Linked DNA regions of Cricetulus griseus. The protein of the gene in region 1 interacts with the protein of each later gene in a pairwise test. Links are inferred from orthologs where the notes say so. Each region holds a gene or a part of one and is shown on either strand. Other genes may lie near its edges. The genes, in order: Setdb1, Mbd1 and Mrpl44.

Region 1 (5,228 bases):
TCTACTTTGTACTCTGTTAAGGATTTTTTGGTTTTTGCTGTGTGTGTGTGTGTGTGTGTGTATGTATGTGTGTATGTGTGTATGTGTGTATATGTGCGTTTTAAGAATACAAAAGTACAACTGAGAGACAGTGTGTGTGTATAATATATAAAAGTGTAACTGAGGTCAGGCATGACACACATGCTTTAATCCCTGCATTCAGCAGGCAGAGGTAGACAAATTTCTAAGTTTGAGGCCACTTTTGTCTACATACTGATTTCTAGGCCAGCCAGGGCTACTTGTGAGACCCTGTTTCGCTTTAATTCCTGCATTCAGCAGGCAGAGGTAGACAAATTTCTAAGTTTGAGGCCACTTTTGTCTACATACTGATTTCTAGGCCAGCCAGGGCTACTTGTGAGACCCTGTTTCAAAAGAAAGTAACAATCAAAGTGTAAAATCCAAAATGAAGCTCCATAGCTTCAGAATGACTATTCTATACTATACAGAAGTTCAAATAGAGACTTTTGGTCTGGGCTATGTTAATCTAGCTGCATGATTATTTTTATTTGCATGTTGTTTACAATAGTGATTTCAATTGAAAAAAATTAAGTGATCATAAAAAAAAAGCTGGGTATTGGTGGCCTACTCCTTTAATCCCAGCACTCGGGAGGCAGAGGCAGGGTATCTCTGTGAGTTCAAGGCCAGCCTGGTCTCCAGAGCAAGTGCCAGGATAGGCTCCAAAGCTACACAGAGAAACCCTGTCTCAAAAAAACAAAAAACAAAACAAACAAACAAAAAAACCAAACAAACAACCCCAATGACAGGATATATACATATATTCTAGTTATATGTATCTGTAAGTGACAGACATACAGAGAAGCCAAGATGGGTAGTTGTTAGGGGTGACCATGGAAACTGAGGCAAATAGGCAAAAGGAGTATTTTGAAATGATACAAATTTGCTAAACTTGGATTACTACATAAATGTACTAAAACTCAAATCATAGTTAACATGTGTATGTTTTATGTTATGAGAATAATACCTTAATGTAACACCATATAACAGAAATCCCAGCACACAGGAGGCAAAGAGAGGTGTTTCATTTTGAGTTTGTGGCCAGTCTGGTCAATGTAGGAAGTTCCAAAACAGCCAGGGTTACATAGTGACATTATCTCAAAAAAAAAAAAAAAAAACAACAAAAAGGGGCTGGAGAGATGTCTCAGTGATTAGGAGCACCGCTGTTCTTCCATGAGCTGGGTTCAATTACCAGCACCCACATGGCAGCTCAAAACTGTCTGTAACTCCAATATCTGACACCCTCACAAAGACAAACATGTAGGGGAAACATCAGTGAACATAAAATAAAATTTAAAAAGATTAAAAAAACAACAAAAGGCTGGGGAGATGGCTCAGCAATTGGAAGAACTAGCTGCTTTTCCAGAGGACACAGGTTGAGTTCCAGCACCCACAAGGAAGCTCACAACCAGGCAAGACTCCAGTTTCAGGGGATCCTATGACCTCTACTGGCCTCTGTGGATACTGGGCACACACACAGTAGACATGGTAGATAAACATACCTGTAAGCAAAATATCCATACAAGGAAAAAAAACAGACACACCACCCTTAAGAGAAAACCCACAACAAATAAAACCAAACAAGCAAACAAGCAAGCACTGTTAGGGAATCCAAATAAATGCTGAATTTACCTACTAAGGTAAACCATAAGATACAGCATAAATCTGGTATGTTGGCCTATGTCAGTAATCACAGCATTTAGAAAACAGAAGTATTTTGCCAAGCAGTTGTGGTTCACATCTTTAATCCCAGCACTCGGGAGGAAGAGACAACAGGCGGATCTCTGTGAGTTCCAGACCATCTTGGTCTACAGAACGAGATCCAGGACAGGCTCCAAAGCTACAGAGAAACCGAGAAACCCTGTTTTTAAAAAAAAAAAAAAAAAAAAAAAAAAGCAGTACTGCTACAAGTTTAAGACTAATATGCACTACACGGTAGGTTCAACATCACACAGTTACAGTAAAATCCTATCTTAAAAATTCTAGAGAGATGGCTCAATGGATACAGTGTTTGCATCACAAGACCTAAGTCCTGGAGTTTGGATCCTCAGACCCTAAACCTGTAATCATAGGACTCACAAGGCAGAGACACACTGTAAGCTGGCTATCTATACATGCTAGAATTAGCAAGCTCCAGGTTCAATGAGACTCTGCCTCCATAATAAAGTGAAGGAAGAAAGCTGTAAACCTCTGAATTCTACATGCATACACACCTACATACATGTACGTACTCACACATCCAAAACATGCATATGTACGCATACACTGTGACCATTAATGTCACATTGACAAAATTAAATTACTTGGGAAATGGAACTCTGTGAAAGCCAATGGAGAATTATTTTGATTGTGTAGAGGTGGAAGGACCTGCGCACTGTGGGTGGTTATCATTCCCTAGACTTCATAAAGAGAGAAAGAGAGCTAGCTGAGCAGGCAGCATGAGGCAGTCTGTCTCCAGACTTCACATACAATGGAACCAGATGCTCCAGACTCTTGCCACTATGAATCCCTGTGAACCAGACTAAGTCCCTTTCCCTTTAACTGAGTTTTGGTTGTTTGTTTTTGTTTTGTTTTTCAAGAAAGGGTTTCTCTGTAATGGGTAGGAGCCTGTCCTGGAACTCAGAGATCCGCCTGTCTCTGCCTCCCGAGTGTTGGGATTAAAGTTATGCACCACCAACACCTAGCTCCCATTTAACTGATTTTGTCAGAACATTTTATCATAGTAACTGAAAAAGAAATTTAACATAGATAGGTATATCACACACAAACATGGGGGGAGGGGGGAGACAGAAAATAAATATACCTCATCTGAAATGGGAAAAGGAAGCAATCAGGATATAGCACTTACGGAACTTGCTTTTTTCTATAATAAATAAGCCCAGCAAGTGGGTATGAGGAATTGCTGACAATATGTTTCCTTATTTTCTACCTGCTCATCTTCTAATAATTCACCTTCCATTCTAAGAACTAACTTTCTTTCTTTCTTTTTTTCTTTCTTTCTTTCTTCCTTCCTTTTTGTGGTCTTTTTGAGACAGGCTCTCTCTGCGTAGCTCTGCTGTTCTGGAACTCAAGACATCTGCCTGCCTCTGCCTCCTCCAGTGCTGGGACTACAAGCGCATGCCACCACACTTGGCCCATTCTAAGAATTTTCTAACTAAAGCTTCATCATTTACCTGAATCAATACTGAGGACATCATCATCTTCATCAGGAATCTCAATTATTTCTGTAGGCTGGGAAGCTTCATCCTCGGAGCTACTGTCATGATACTGCAGTCCCAGCTTAGAGTAGAAATCCTTCACCAAAGACTCACAATTAATCACTGCCCTAATATTGGAACACATTAGAAAAGATCAAAGCCAGTGGGGAAAGTAAGTTATTATTAGAGCATTAGAATTTATACACATTTATGCAATACCAAGCCTAGGAGCTCACACCTATGATCCTAGTACTTAGGAGCCTGAGGTACCAGAACTGACTAAGTTTGAGGTCAGCTTGAACAATACAGTGAGTTCAGGGCCAGCAAGGCCTACAAGTGAGAAACCTTTAAAAACAGCAACAACAACACAGTAACAAGAAAAAAAAAAAAAAAAAAAAAAAAAAAAAAAACAAGAAATATGTATGTATGTTATGTATGTATGTATAGACTGTTTGCCCTTCATTTTTCAAAGTATCTATTCAGAATGCTTTTTCCATAATGTTTCTTGTTTCTACATGACACAATTTGGCAGAGTTGTATCTTTCTACCTGCTGGAAGTCAGAAGACCTGGTACTAATTATCTATATGGATTTGGGAACTAAGAATAAGGTTTTTGTTGAGCCTGAGTCACAAGGAGCCCCCAAGGAGACCAGGAAGACAGACCCACTGATGCAAATGCACAAGGTTTATTAAATTGTCTATCCTACCTCGGGAGGGACCCTGTCTAGCAAGCTGATGCAGCAGCCTCCAGAGGGGAAGTTCCCTGTCTACTGCTAGGTTTTAAAGACAAAAGTTACAGAATTACATCAGTAGGCACGGGTTGCTTTCTGATTGGTTGACATGTGGGAACAATCAGGAAAATTTCTCAAAGTCATATTTTGGCATAAAATACCTGAGTACCAGGTATTCTCATTGGTCAGTGCTGAGAGGGAACATTCTGTGGTTTCTATGGTTTTGTCTTGTTACTTGCAGGTGGCCTATCATACATAGATACCAATAGTTTTTAGAACTGTATCCTGGAGACTACAGGGGAGGCTTCTGACTCCCCTGGAGCTTCTTTTGTGGCCAAACAGTTCCCAGGATCCAAGAACCTACAAAGTTGGGGCGGGGGAGGGGGTTCTGGAGTTTCTTTGTCTTTAGTTTTGGCACGACGCTCCAGGAGGCCAGAGGATCTAGAGTTTCTTTGTGTTAGAGGCCTACCTGTCTTTTCTGTACCCGGTCATGGCTGCTAAAGCAGGGAGCTGAGTGAGGGTCTGGTCCCTTTATTTTTAAATTATTAGAAGCCTTTTAGTTTAGTTTACCCCTTTCAGTTTTAAATAGTGGCTTAATTTATACAGGAAGGATGGCACATGCCTTCACCTTTAATTTCAGGGGCAAAGGCAGGGGGATCTCTATGAGTTCCAGGCCGTCAGTCTACATAGTGAATTCCAAGGCAGCCAGAGTCATGTAAAGAGACACTACATCCAAGGGGGAAAAAAAAAAAGGAAAATACATAAGCTGGACAATGGTGATGTATGCCTTTACTCCTAGTACTCAAGAGGCAGAAGCAGGAGGATCTTTCCGAGTGATCCTCTGCTGAGGCCAACCTGAACTACAGAAAGAGTTCCAGGACAGCCAAAGACACATAGAGAAACTTTCCCTCAAAACCAAAAACCAAAACAAGTAAGTAGTTGCAACAGTTTTCAACTAGTTTATCAACAATCCAAAATTCACCTGAGTGCAATACTAACATCATCTACTTGGTTGACTGAAGTTGCTGTGGCAATCTGATTGGAATTTGTTAATGTTTCACAGTTAAAGACAGCAAGTTGAGAGGTTGACGATTTAGCTCAACTGGCAGAATGATTGCTTAACCCTTGGTGCAATCCCAAACACAACCCGTAACTCGGGCATGCTGGCCCACACCTATAATCCCAACACTGCGGATGTAAAAGAGCAACATCAGGAGGGTGGAGATCATGACCAAGCAAATTCAAG
Region 2 (5,919 bases), on another chromosome or scaffold:
TTCTGCAAGAATCATCAGAGGCATTCATTATCTCCTGAAACAAACTACCTTCTCATTGTTTGTAAAAACAGGTAACTTTTGAAAAGGTCCCCTCCCTTCCAGGGGAAAGGACAGCAATGCTTATCATACTGATACTTGATTTTCTAAACTCAAATACACAGGCTGCCTTTCCTATATACAGTGCAGCATATATGCTACTTAGCCCTCTTCATGTCATCCTATGGGGATTGGGATTCTAAGAAATGCCAAAAACAGGTATTTTAGGCTCTGATACTACTGTGAGAAATTTTTTTTATATCTGGCCCAGGAAGTATCACATTTCCTATCAGCATCCACAAAACTAACAAACCCATTTACTAGTCTGATAAATATGTATCTTTTGACAATTACTTGTAAGTTTTGAAATTTTTATACAATTTCATATGTGGAAAAAGTTAAAAACATAAAAGTTGAAAATATCTGAAATTTTATGATATTCTAGGGAAATGACAACTTAGATAAACAGGAAGGGTGTAGAAATGTTAGTAGCTGTTTCACGAATACAGAACACATGCTTATGTGTGGGAGCCCACAGTGACTCCATTCCATCTTAAGGTCAGAGAGTTCAAGCTTGTTCTTGCTCCTCAAGGCCAAATAATAGGATGTTTGACCAGAGGTGTGGTTACTAGATGTTTTGAGAATTAAGGAGGTGATTGTGCTTGTTTGTTTCTTGAAAGAAAGGCTTTTGCCCACCCCTTTTGTTTAGGGTATAAAAAAACTATGAGAAATAAATTCTGGGCTGCTGCAGCGTTCACTGAAAGCCCTCCTGATTCTATCCTTTCTTTTGTCTCTTTCTAAATCCTCACTCCTCTTTTCAGGTACTGTTTGACAGGTCGACTGGCCCCGACACTTAGGAACTTTAATGTTGATGTGTTTATAGTCAATTCTCATTATATGCAGTAATTATGTATTATGAGGTTCTACAAACCCTGAATTCATGCAGCAAGAACCATTGCTCCAGGAAATACACAGGTGGGTTCCAGCAAGCCTGTCACATTTTTAGCAGCTGATCAATGCATAGTCTTGTTTTATGTGATTTTGTTTAAAGACCTTGTAACATTTGTTTCTTACAAATGACTTCACTTCACGATCAGTTAATAATTAAGAGCCACACTGGCTTCAGAGAATGTTTCGTCTAGATTTGTCTGCCAGTGTTTTGGTCTTATTTTTCTGAAGACACCTGATATACAGAAGTACATCACAAGTTTAATGTTTTTATACCATATCACCTTCTGAAACATGCAAACCAGACAGAAGCAGCTAAAATGATTGACCTTTTCCTAATTCTGACCAATATATCTTTGGCTTTCTTCATAACAATGTTGTTCACTACTCTTTACTAGCCATCAGTTCATGAATCTACAAATTCAGCTACTTTCCCAACTTCTCTGAGCATCAAGTACTACAAATTTTAATTTTTGTTCTTTCCAGAGCAGCCTCACACACATCCAAGCAAGTTCCCTCTTCTCTTTTGGGATGTAACATTTCTGATTTTTAACACTGTAACTCAAGCAGATAGTACATGCAATTCATGGAAGCTTATCTGACAAGGAGAAAAAGCACATGACCTTCTTCTTGCACTCAGAACACTAGAAAACACTTTATTTGGGAGATTTTTAAACAACAAATTTGACAACAAAAATATGGCACTAAATAGACCACACAAAGGATGCTGGATTTGCAGTACAAAAGGGAGCAAAAAGTTCTTGTTCAACTTATTAGGAATGCAAGCACTAGACAATTCAAATTTTTGGCTGCCCCATTTGTGTCTGTGAATAATCACAATTGAATGTGCATATTGACTTTGGTCAAATAAGCTTTATTAAGGATGGATGATTATGAAAACACAAAACTTTTAATAAGGGACTGACTATGTGAACAATTTTAACTCCATGTATAGATTTAAACAAACCGGTTTAATTACTAACAAGGCCCAACTCTATTAAACACTGACCAAAACCCACCCATTACCTCAGATAATAGATGTCTGAGCGTCCACAAGAGGCCCCTGACTTTCGAAAGGCCTCACGTCGCTTCCAGCCAGGGCCCAGGGCTGGGCAGTCCTGCCAGTCCCCAGCCATAGGTACTTCGGAAATGAAGAAACACCTAGGAGGATTGGAAGTAGGTAAGGTATGAAAGAAATTAGTGGCACTCTGCTTCTAGGCCACAACGGTGTTGATGTTAATACTTGCCCCAGACATTCGCATGTATTTCCTTGCCATCCCTCTTCTTTATCATCCTCCAACATATATACTACACCCTCCAAACACATACACTACAATCTGGCATGAGGTCCCTAGTCTCTTGTCCTCACCTCCCAACTTCAGTTTAACTTAATTCACATTTTCCTTGACCTGAGTTTCCAATGTCTGTCAGTGTTCTGGCTGCATTTATATGCATGAGAGCGCCCAACTCTTCCATACACCAGTCCCCTTTCCTTTCATTCTTCAGCCTGCAATCTCCCCCTCAAGTCCAAAGCTCTCCCCCAAACTGATTTTCCCTCGTTTTTCTGGCCCACAATTCCTCTCCAGTCTCATCCCTCACCTCTACTGTCAGCGTTCGCTACTCTTACCCTTATCTTTGTCATTCTCCATTTCTCTTAATACCCTGTGAAAACTTCCTTGTTCCTTCACACAGTGACCTGCCTCTCAGTTTCTGTTGGTGTTCGGGGACAATAGCACCCGTGTCAGTCTTCTGACATTCCACTTTTCGTTCTCCACGAGTTTCTAGTCCCTCATAATTCTAACCCTGCTATTTCTCCTATGACCTGTCTCAGGCCCCGTCTTCTCACTATCAGCTTTGGGTTCCCATTTCTATCCCGTTAACATGGAGGCCTGACGTCTCTCTAAACGTTCTGATCTCTTCCATTCCTCTCCATTCTAGTCCCTCGACATTGTTGTCATCGCCCCGAACCAGTTTCCCCAGGATCTCTCTCAATACGCAGAAGACGCCATTCCTCCTCCCGGCCTCAGGGCCCTTCGCGTCTCCCCGCTAGCGTTCGGAGTCTCAACTCCTCCCCAGCTCCTCCTGAGCACTCTCCATTTCCATGCCCACGGCGGCTGTCTCACCAGCTGGACACGAGGCCCTTAGCTTCCACCGCGCTAGGCCCGTGGACCCATGGGGACGATCCCGCGCCCGCGCGCCCCGCCTGGTCCACTCTTCTTCCTCCTTCACCTCCACCGCAAGCTCCGCCAAAGCACTAGTTTTGTGGCCTGGGCTGCCGTTGGCTACTCCCGGAACCGGAAACTCACGGGCTGCCTTTTGGGCTCTGACCAGGACCCACACCTGCGTGCAGTCTGCACACGCCTGCCCTCAGTGGGGAGGCTCCAGCGCTTGCGTACTGCGTCTTTTCAGGGGCGCGCGGTTTTCCAGAGATCTGCTGCGCCTGCGCTCTGATAACATCCGCATCTCTCTCAGTTCCCTCTTTGCCTGTGCGCCTGCGCTTTCCCAAGTCAGTGCGCGCTTCTTGTCCCGAGCGTGCAGGCGACGTCTGGTCCCAACACAAGGGGAAGTGGACAGCCTGGCCAGCTTGCCTGCTCTAGTTTTTCGTCTCCAAAAATAGCAGGTTCACGATCACAGAGCTCGTTTGTCCTCTTCCTTCCTAGGAGACACCCCCCCACACACAGTTTGTTGCTGCGACTACGTTCTTCAGGATTGGTACTCACTACTTCCTGGAACCTCCAGGAGCACTGCGCATTCTGGCCAGGTTTCTTCCTTGGGAACCAGGGAGAAGGCGAGATGTGTAAGCAGTTAATGAAGGGACCAAATGAGGGCTTGACCATACCTCAAAGGCCAATGGGAGGGGATGGTGAACTGACCAAGGTAACCTGTTTTGCATTAAGCTAACTCCATTTTTGTGCTTCACCCAGTGGCTCCTTGGCCCTGCTGTGTTGGTATGGACAGGGATGGATTATGGCACTCGGGAGCCAAAGAATACTGAGTGTTACAGCTCAGATGGGAAGGTATTCTGGCACTCAGGAGTCACAGAATACTGAGTGTTACAGCTTGGATAGAAAGGTATCCTGGCTGGCACTCGGGAGCCAAGAAATACCACGGTCACAGTACGCATAGCAGCTTACAGCTTTGCTTCAGTGAAAGGCTTCCCTGGTGTATCAGCTCTGCTCCTGCAGGAGCGGGCTTCCTGGCAAAGTTGTTACGATTCTGCCTCACCCCCCTCCCCCTGCCCCAAAGAGCCGAAGTTCCTCTCTACCCAGGGTCCTCTCTGGTCTCACCCAAACCTCATTCAAGAGATTTATTGGGAGAGAAGGATCCAGGAAAGTGGCTGCTCTATGTCAGGATGGCAGAGTACAGCTGGGCAGCCTGAACAACCACAAGCTGAACAGACACAGAGTTTATATAGGGATTTTTATGGGGTGGAGTTTTTCCAGGGTGAGGTTTGGTCAGATTTCAATCCCTGAGTTTAGGATGGCTAGATCTGCTCCAGGATTGGTTAGTTTTCTGCACAGGTTTAGGGTCAGATTTGGCTCTGGTTTCAGGGCCAAAGTATGTTTCTTTCACTGGTCCTTTTTAGCCTTTTGCTTCTAGTTTTAGGGCCAGGGTGTATTTCTTTCACTGGCTCTGACTCCAGAGACAAAGTGTGTTTCTTTGGCACTGGTTTTCAGGGTCAGGGTGCATTTCTTTGGTTCTAGTTGCACAACCAGTATTCTTCAAAGCAGTTAGGCAAGGCATTATTCAATAACTGATATGCAGAGATTAAGGTTTGAAACAAGAGATAGTATGACGAGATGAGATCAGTTTTGTCAAAAAAGGGGGGAATGAAGAGGGGCTTCTTTGGAAGGGCTTAGTCACAGGAGAGCCAATAGCAGGAGTTTTATCCAATCTGTATGTAGTTCTTGGGAAAGTTTGATAAGAATATTTTTGAGAGAATGATTAGTTTGTTCAGCTTTGCCTGAAGACTGGGGATGGTAGGAGATATGGGTTGTTAAGGGCTTTGTCCAAAGTTTTTAGATTAGAAAGGTAAATTCAGGCTCATCTGATTGAAGGGAGGTTGGAACTCCAAAAACGGAGGATGATCTCCCTAAAAAGGAGATCAGAAACTGTTTGTGATCTTTTATTAGTGATGAGAAAAACTTCTAGCCATCCTGAGAAGGTATCTACAAGGAAAAAAGGTATCTGAAGCTTTAAACTGTAGGCATGTGGGAGAAGTCGAGTTGAGCTGCCAGTCTGATCCAGACAGGGATCCCCTGGCTTGATGAGTGGGGAAAGGGAGACTCTGGTGCCTGGAGGTAGGCTTAGACGTTTTGCAAACTTTTCAAGAAATAGTGATAGTCTTTAAATGGGATAGATCCTCAGAGGTAGACTATAAATAGGTTTCAGTAAAGTGGGACAAAGCCTGACTCTTATGGTGAAAGACCTGGTGCAGATAGGAAAAAGTTTGTTGAGTATCTGGAGATGGTGATGGAGGCATGGGTTTCGAAATGAGAGAGCCTTGTGACATGTGATGGGAACCCAGGCTCCTTAGAGTTGCAGCTCTAGCTGCCTCATCAGTTCAGTTATTTCCCTTGGAAACAGAACTGTCCAAGTGAATTGGGTAGAAATATGTGTGTCTGGGTCAGTCCAAGTAAAGGCAAAGATATTCTGTGACTGGGGATCCAGAGGAATAAAAAAGAAGGCATCTAACATGAGGTCACTGACAGAGAAATGAAAGGTTTCTGAGGGGATGGTAGAGAGGAGAGTTTAAGGATGAAGGGCAACTATTGCTGAGTTGATAAGTTGGAGATCCTGAACCAAGTCGTAGGCTCCATAGTATGAGGTTATTAAAGGGGAAAGAAGTGGGGCGCAGAAGATTGTTTCTTAGGAAGTCAGAGTAGAGTTTAAGTCCCCTGAGACTTTGGAGTGAAAATGGATATTGAGCCTTGG
Region 3 (5,885 bases), on another chromosome or scaffold:
CAGCTGGCAAAAAAATGACTTAGCAGGAGCTGGATGGAAGGCTCAGTGGTTCAGAGCACTGGCTGCTCTTGCAGAGAACCCAGGTGTGGTTCCCAGCACCAACACAGCAGCTAACAACCATCTGTAACTCCAGCAGAACTGGTGGCTTCTTCTGGTCTCCACACGAATTCGGTGCATACACACACGCAGGCCAATACTCAGAGACACAAAAATCTTTAAAAGTTACTATTAACAAAACACAGGTAACTTGTCTTCCTCTAATAGGAAAAAGCGGGGAGGGAATCCAGATATCAGACCCCACCCCTGACCCACCAGGGTCTCTGTCCTGGATGTAGACCAATCTGGCCTTGAACTCACAGAGATCTGCTTGCCTCTACCTCCTGAATGCTAGGCTAAGATTAAAGCATGCACCACCATGCCCAGCTCAGAGATACAATTTTAATGCTGTTAGAAGTAACATTTAAAGACTGGAAGTCTATCTTTAAGGCTTCCAATCAAAGTTATGAAGTGAAGAATAATTTTTTACTAACCAGTATAAACCAACAAAATACAAAGGCAAAGCAGTTGTGCTTCCAGACTGCCTGGTGAGTCTAGACTCGGGAGCCGAAATGTCTCTCTTCTTCAGTTCCTCTACGAGTAGTCCCATAGGATTTACAACAGTCCACATCTCAAAGAGCTCTTTCCCTGTCATTTGTGTAATTAAAAAGTCCTGTGCATAAAATGACCATTTATACATTTAAATTAGAACAAAGCATATTACGACCAGAATAAATGACCAACATACATGTTAAAACATCTAGCCTGAAAATCTGAAATGCTCCAAAATTTGAAACTTTTGCATCAAAGTGTTGCTTACAAAAGTTGAGATTTTTAGGACATTTTCAGTTTTAGGCTATGGAATTCCAGTTTGGGCTTCTCCCCCATGGGCTCACACATACAAGGCAAGTAAACACTCTATCAGAGTTAGTTATACCATAGGTTGTTCTTGTTTGTTTGTAGTTTTAACAACAACAACAAAAAATCACAGTTGAATTTAAAAAAACATTTCAATTTCAAATCCTAAGAAAACAATGTCAAGCAATATGACCAATATGACTTCAAAATTCAAAGTAGAAGACAGCATGTGGCTATCTGCCTCCTAAGGACACACCCCCACAGCCGCACCTTCCACCATGGCAGGCTACATTCCTTTTTAGACCCTGAGCTAAAATAAATCTTTCCCCTTAAAGCCAAACAAACAAAAAACAAAACTAGCCGGACGTTGGTGGCACACGCCTTTAATCCCAGCACTCGGGAGGCAGAGGCAGGCAGATCTCTGTGAGTTCGAGGCCAGCCTGGTCTCCAGAGCGAGTGCCAGGATAGGCTCCAAAGCTACACAGAGAAACCCTGTTTCGAAAAACAAACAAATAAACAAACAAACAAAAAAATTAGAAGCTGAAAATGACTTAAATCCTTCAGAACTCACAACCCAGCATTTAATATTTGCACTCCACTCTATCCGCAAAAGAAAAAAAAATTGAAATAACAACAAAATTACCAAAAAAAAAAAAAAAAAAAAAAAAAAGTTTAGGTCTTTGACAGTTTTTCTGGGGAGAAACAGTCTGTTCTATAAAGATATATCAAAGGTATGAACGAAAGACACTTTTCGTTTGTCCTCATCAAGTGTGTGTGTGTGTGTGTGTGTGTGTGTGAACAAGTAGAATTAGCGATACCCACCCTGATGAAAAGCGCAGCCCTTTCAGGTCCGCTGCTCTGTAGCAGGGCTCCAATCACTGCAAAGAAAGTTCGCCGCAATACAGGCAGGGGGACAGGGAATTCTGCACTAAGGGCCAACTGCTCCACAGCCAAGTTTCTAGCCACATGACAGACAACTGCCTCACCAGTAAGAAAGCTAACTAGACTTTCAATGCCTTCGGTGGGCAAATCTGGGAACTCATCTTCAAGAAACTGTGTGAGGCACTTATGTGAAAAAGACAGCCCTTGTTCAGATAGTTCTTGATTGTCCTTAAGATTCAGAAGAACGGCTTCTTTCTCAACCCCAAGTTTCTGACGTTTCGCCTCTTCACTTTTAATATAGCAGCTATTGACGAAAGCAGTTTTGAGAAGGTCCAAGGAAAAGGTTTCTTGTAACCGAGCCCCAAAGGCTTGTATTTCCGCATGGTAATCCCAGTTTGGCTTCTCGGAACTGAGGATGCAGAGACAGAGATGGTAAGGACAGGAGGACACCATGCACAACTGTGCTCTAGCTTTATTAGATAAAGGAAATTATACAAAGGGACAAAACGTAGTCTGCTTCTTTTAACGTCAAGTTCTAACAGTTTAAATACAAAAAAGCAACGCAGACGAATACTGGCGGTCTTTGTTACATTCTACACACATGGTTAGGATTAATTTTCCCTTTGGCTTAACTGCCACATTAAAGTGATTGCTGGCATTACATTAGACCATTGTTCAAGCTTTTCAATTTCTTCTTTCTGCCCTGACAATGAAATTATGCTTTACACCTAAGTATAAACAAATTCTAACTATATAGATTCAGACCAGAAACTAAAAGTATATTATATTTAGTTTATATCCTATTTACTTAAATTTCAGAAATGTCCACTTAAGCTAGTACCAGTATTATAAGCATGTTAAGCTGGGCAGTATGCAGAGGCAGGCGGATCTCTGTGAGTTCAAGACCAGCTTGGTCTGCAAGAGCTAGTTCCAGGGCAGCCTCCAAAGCCACAGAGAAACCCTGTCTCCAAAAACAAACAAACAAACAAACAAAAAATCCATAACCATGGTGAGGCTTGAGGCTGCTATAGTTTAGTGGTGGAGTGTTTGCCGAGCAGACACAAGGGGCTGTGTGTGCTCATACACTTTAAATACACAATTCAAGAATTAGTGTAAACATGATCAGTGTTCTCCTGGAGACCAAGATTAAAGTAGTAACCACAATTTCACATCAGGAGTAAGTTCCCCAAACACTAGAGACAGTTCCCACCTCTTTAGGTGTACTAACAATCTAACGGCGGTCAAGTGCCAGTCAGACTAAGAATGAAGTACATCTACGTGTACTTTTGTCCACAGCGACATCGTAAACAGAAGATGCAAGAAGCAGGCTCATAAGCAAGCATGGTGCACTTCGTAAGAGCGTATGGCTATTTTTCTGTGTCTGGCCAGCCAGCGACGAGATTAACTAGATCAAAAACCTAAACGTTTCCCCTCTCACTCCGGACAGTGGACACGTAGTTCAGTTCTACACAGAAGTGAACTTTTCTGCCCTGGTTTGCAGGACTGTGTGTAGAATGATGCTATCGCCCCTAAAGGCGCCCTAAGAATCTCAGGCCGGAGACTGAGCAGTCGCAAAGCTGGGCCAACCTCAAGCGATCACTCTCTAGCAGGCCCCATTTCTCTATTTGGGGTTACTGGGATTCTGCAGGGGACAGCCCGGCCAGTGTCGCCCTTCTCCTCTGCCCCAGGCCGCGCGCGGCCTCCCCACCACCTGCCTGCAGCTGCAGCCCAGTGTCCTCGGCCGCCCACCTACCGTCGCACGGGTGGCGGCGGGCAGCGCTGCAGCCGCCATCGCTCCAGCTCCTTCTGGAAGCGGAAGGCTGCCCGGAACCCCTTCTTCACTCCCCGAACCGGGGGGACCAGTGTGGGGGCTGCCGGAGCCAAGAGGCAGCGAGGGCCCCGCTGCAGCAGCCGCACCACAGCAGAAGCCATGGCTGGATCAAGGCAACGAAGGGCGGAAGGAAGGCAGCCGGACCGGTGTCGCCAGAACACAGTTCCCCAGGAACTGAGCGGCAAAGGGAGGACTCAGAATTAGGAAACACCCACCACAAGGGCGGGTCGGCGGCGGACTGCGTATTCTGCGCCTGCGCAAGTGCTCCTTCCTGCCCAGGATCTGAGTATGGGTGCAGAAATTGCTGGGAAAAGTTGCATTTCCCTGTCAGTCTCTATTGTGTTTATTTCCCACTGAAGTAAAACAAAAACTTGTTGAACTTTCAGTTTGAAGAACGCAGTTAGATTCTCAAGAGAGAAACACTTGTTTACATTCAGCCTTAGGTTGTAGAACATCAATCCTGCCACCACTGAGCAAATGTTTTCCTAAATTCGAGGTTTCACCTGACCCTTCTCCCAAAATAATCTCACTGCCAAAGGCCTTACGTTCAGAAATGTGTTTGACTTAACCAAAATTAAAGTTTGCATTTTATTTTTTATCCATTTTACATCTTACCGCATTCTCCAGTCTCCATTCTCCCAACCCCTCTCCCACATCTCCCCCTCCGAACCCCAATCACCTCCTCTTCGGTCTTCACCCAGGAAAAGTGCAAGTCTCCTATGAGTATCAATAAAACATGGCATATCAAATTGCCATAAGACTAGGCACCTCCACATGTATTGAGGCTGGGCAAGGCGACCCAGTATGCGTAGGGTCCCAAAAGCTGGTAAAAAGGTAGGTGACAAGCCCAATTCCCTATCTTAGGAGTCTCGTAAGAGGAAAAAGAAACAAAAATGTGACACTTATGCAGAGTGCCTAGGTCACTCTCAAGCCGGCTCCCAGATTGTCTGTTCAGTCTCTGTAGACATCTATGTGCCCAGATGAGTAATTGTGTGAGTCTTCCCGTGGTGCCCTCGACCAGTCTGGTTCCTACGCTCCTTTGTCCTCTTCCTCCGCAGAATTCCTGAACTCTGTCTAATGTTTGGCTGTGGGTCTCTGCATCTGCCTCCATCAGTTACTGGATGACACCTCTGTGATGACAGTTGTGCCAGGTACCAATCTGGTCACAGGAGACAGCCAGTTCAACCTAGGTTTGTATGTTATAACAACTACTTTTTTTTTTTTTAATCATGGGGAAAAGAAGTGTGTGTGTGTGTGTGTGTGTGTGTGTGTGTGTGTGTGTGTGTGTGTGTGTGTGTGTGTGTGTTGGGCGGGGCATCAAAATATTAACAGCAAAATTATTGCTTTAAAAAAAAATCTTCACTGGGGCTGGAGAGATGGCTCAGAGTTTAAGAGCACTGACTGCCCTTCCAGAGGTCCTGAGTTCAATTCCCAGCAACCACATGGTGGCTCACAACCATCCGTTATGAGATCTGGTGCCCTCTTCTGGTGTGCAGATATCCATGGAAGCAGAATGTTGTATACATAATAAATAAATAAAATCTTAAAGAAAAAAAAAAACTTCACTATCTGAAGCTTTCCTAACAGAATGTAAATGGAAGTCACAAAGGGAAGTGTCTCTGCTTTTAGTTTTGTGCTGAACATCTTGACCTTTAGAGGAACCTTTCTAGGGTTCTATATAAAGGCAGCAGTACCCTTGCAGTCACCCAGACTAGGCTCCTGAGTCTTTAATGGTGCCTGTTTTCACAAACTGTTTGTTCTGGTTACTAAATTACTTCTCAATTTATTTCCACATCAGGTACCTCCCTGCCCCTCTCTCTGATTATTGTAATTGACCTCCAAACAATACTCGCATCCGTCTTTTTGCCCAGACATCCATTTCATCTCCCTTGAAATACATGTTACTGCCTAGTTAGAAAGTCTTCAGCGCTAAGATTGTACAGCCCAGTCTGAGGTTCTTAGCTTAACACTTCAAGATGGAGAGAGAGTCTGAACAGCTTATTTAACCTATAAAGGGGCTTCCAATGGACATCCAGTTGAAGCAAATTCTCTAAAACAGATAAAAATAGTAGTAAAAGCATTGAAAATTCATTCATCATCAGATAAGTGGATTCACCAAATCATGGGGAATTGTTATTTCTGCAACGTTTCATTTATTATTGGGATAAATAACCTAAAGCTGGTCGATATAACTGATGAACCAGCCTGCCTCCATTTTGGGCTTGAAAGCCCTTTTAAAGTAAAGACAAACTAGGTTCCATCCTATTTAGGATTAAAT

The links.
Region 2: the proteins of Setdb1 (region 1) and Mbd1 interact in binary tests that used the Homo sapiens proteins (3 or more experiments, as listed by UniProt). The link is inferred for Cricetulus griseus from reciprocal best matches to the Homo sapiens genes SETDB1 and MBD1.
Region 3: the proteins of Setdb1 (region 1) and Mrpl44 interact in a two-hybrid assay, tested with the Homo sapiens proteins (2 studies listed by BioGRID and IntAct). The link is inferred for Cricetulus griseus from reciprocal best matches to the Homo sapiens genes SETDB1 and MRPL44.

What each region holds. Positions count from the first base shown.
Region 1 is NW_023276806.1:61,140,304-61,145,531, reverse strand, and holds part of Setdb1 (histone-lysine N-methyltransferase SETDB1), read right to left. Parts: intron 3,380-5,228; coding exon 3,228-3,379; intron 285-3,227; exon of another isoform or gene 264-284; intron 1-263. UniProt on the Homo sapiens protein: Histone methyltransferase that specifically trimethylates 'Lys-9' of histone H3. H3 'Lys-9' trimethylation represents a specific tag for epigenetic transcriptional repression by recruiting HP1 (CBX1, CBX3 and/or CBX5) proteins to methylated histones.
Region 2 is NC_048595.1:165,548,182-165,554,100, forward strand, and holds the start of Mbd1 (methyl-CpG-binding domain protein 1), read right to left. Parts: upstream 3,380-5,919; 5' UTR 3,108-3,379; intron 2,146-3,107; 5' UTR 2,121-2,145; coding exon 2,011-2,120; intron 1-2,010. UniProt on the Homo sapiens protein: Transcriptional repressor that binds CpG islands in promoters where the DNA is methylated at position 5 of cytosine within CpG dinucleotides. Binding is abolished by the presence of 7-mG that is produced by DNA damage by methylmethanesulfonate (MMS).
Region 3 is NC_048595.1:432,481,014-432,486,898, reverse strand, and holds the start of Mrpl44 (39S ribosomal protein L44, mitochondrial), read right to left. Parts: upstream 3,756-5,885; 5' UTR 3,709-3,755; coding exon 3,530-3,708; coding exon of another isoform or gene 3,492-3,529; intron 2,186-3,491; coding exon 1,717-2,185; intron 710-1,716; coding exon 531-709; intron 1-530. UniProt on the Homo sapiens protein: Component of the 39S subunit of mitochondrial ribosome. May have a function in the assembly/stability of nascent mitochondrial polypeptides exiting the ribosome.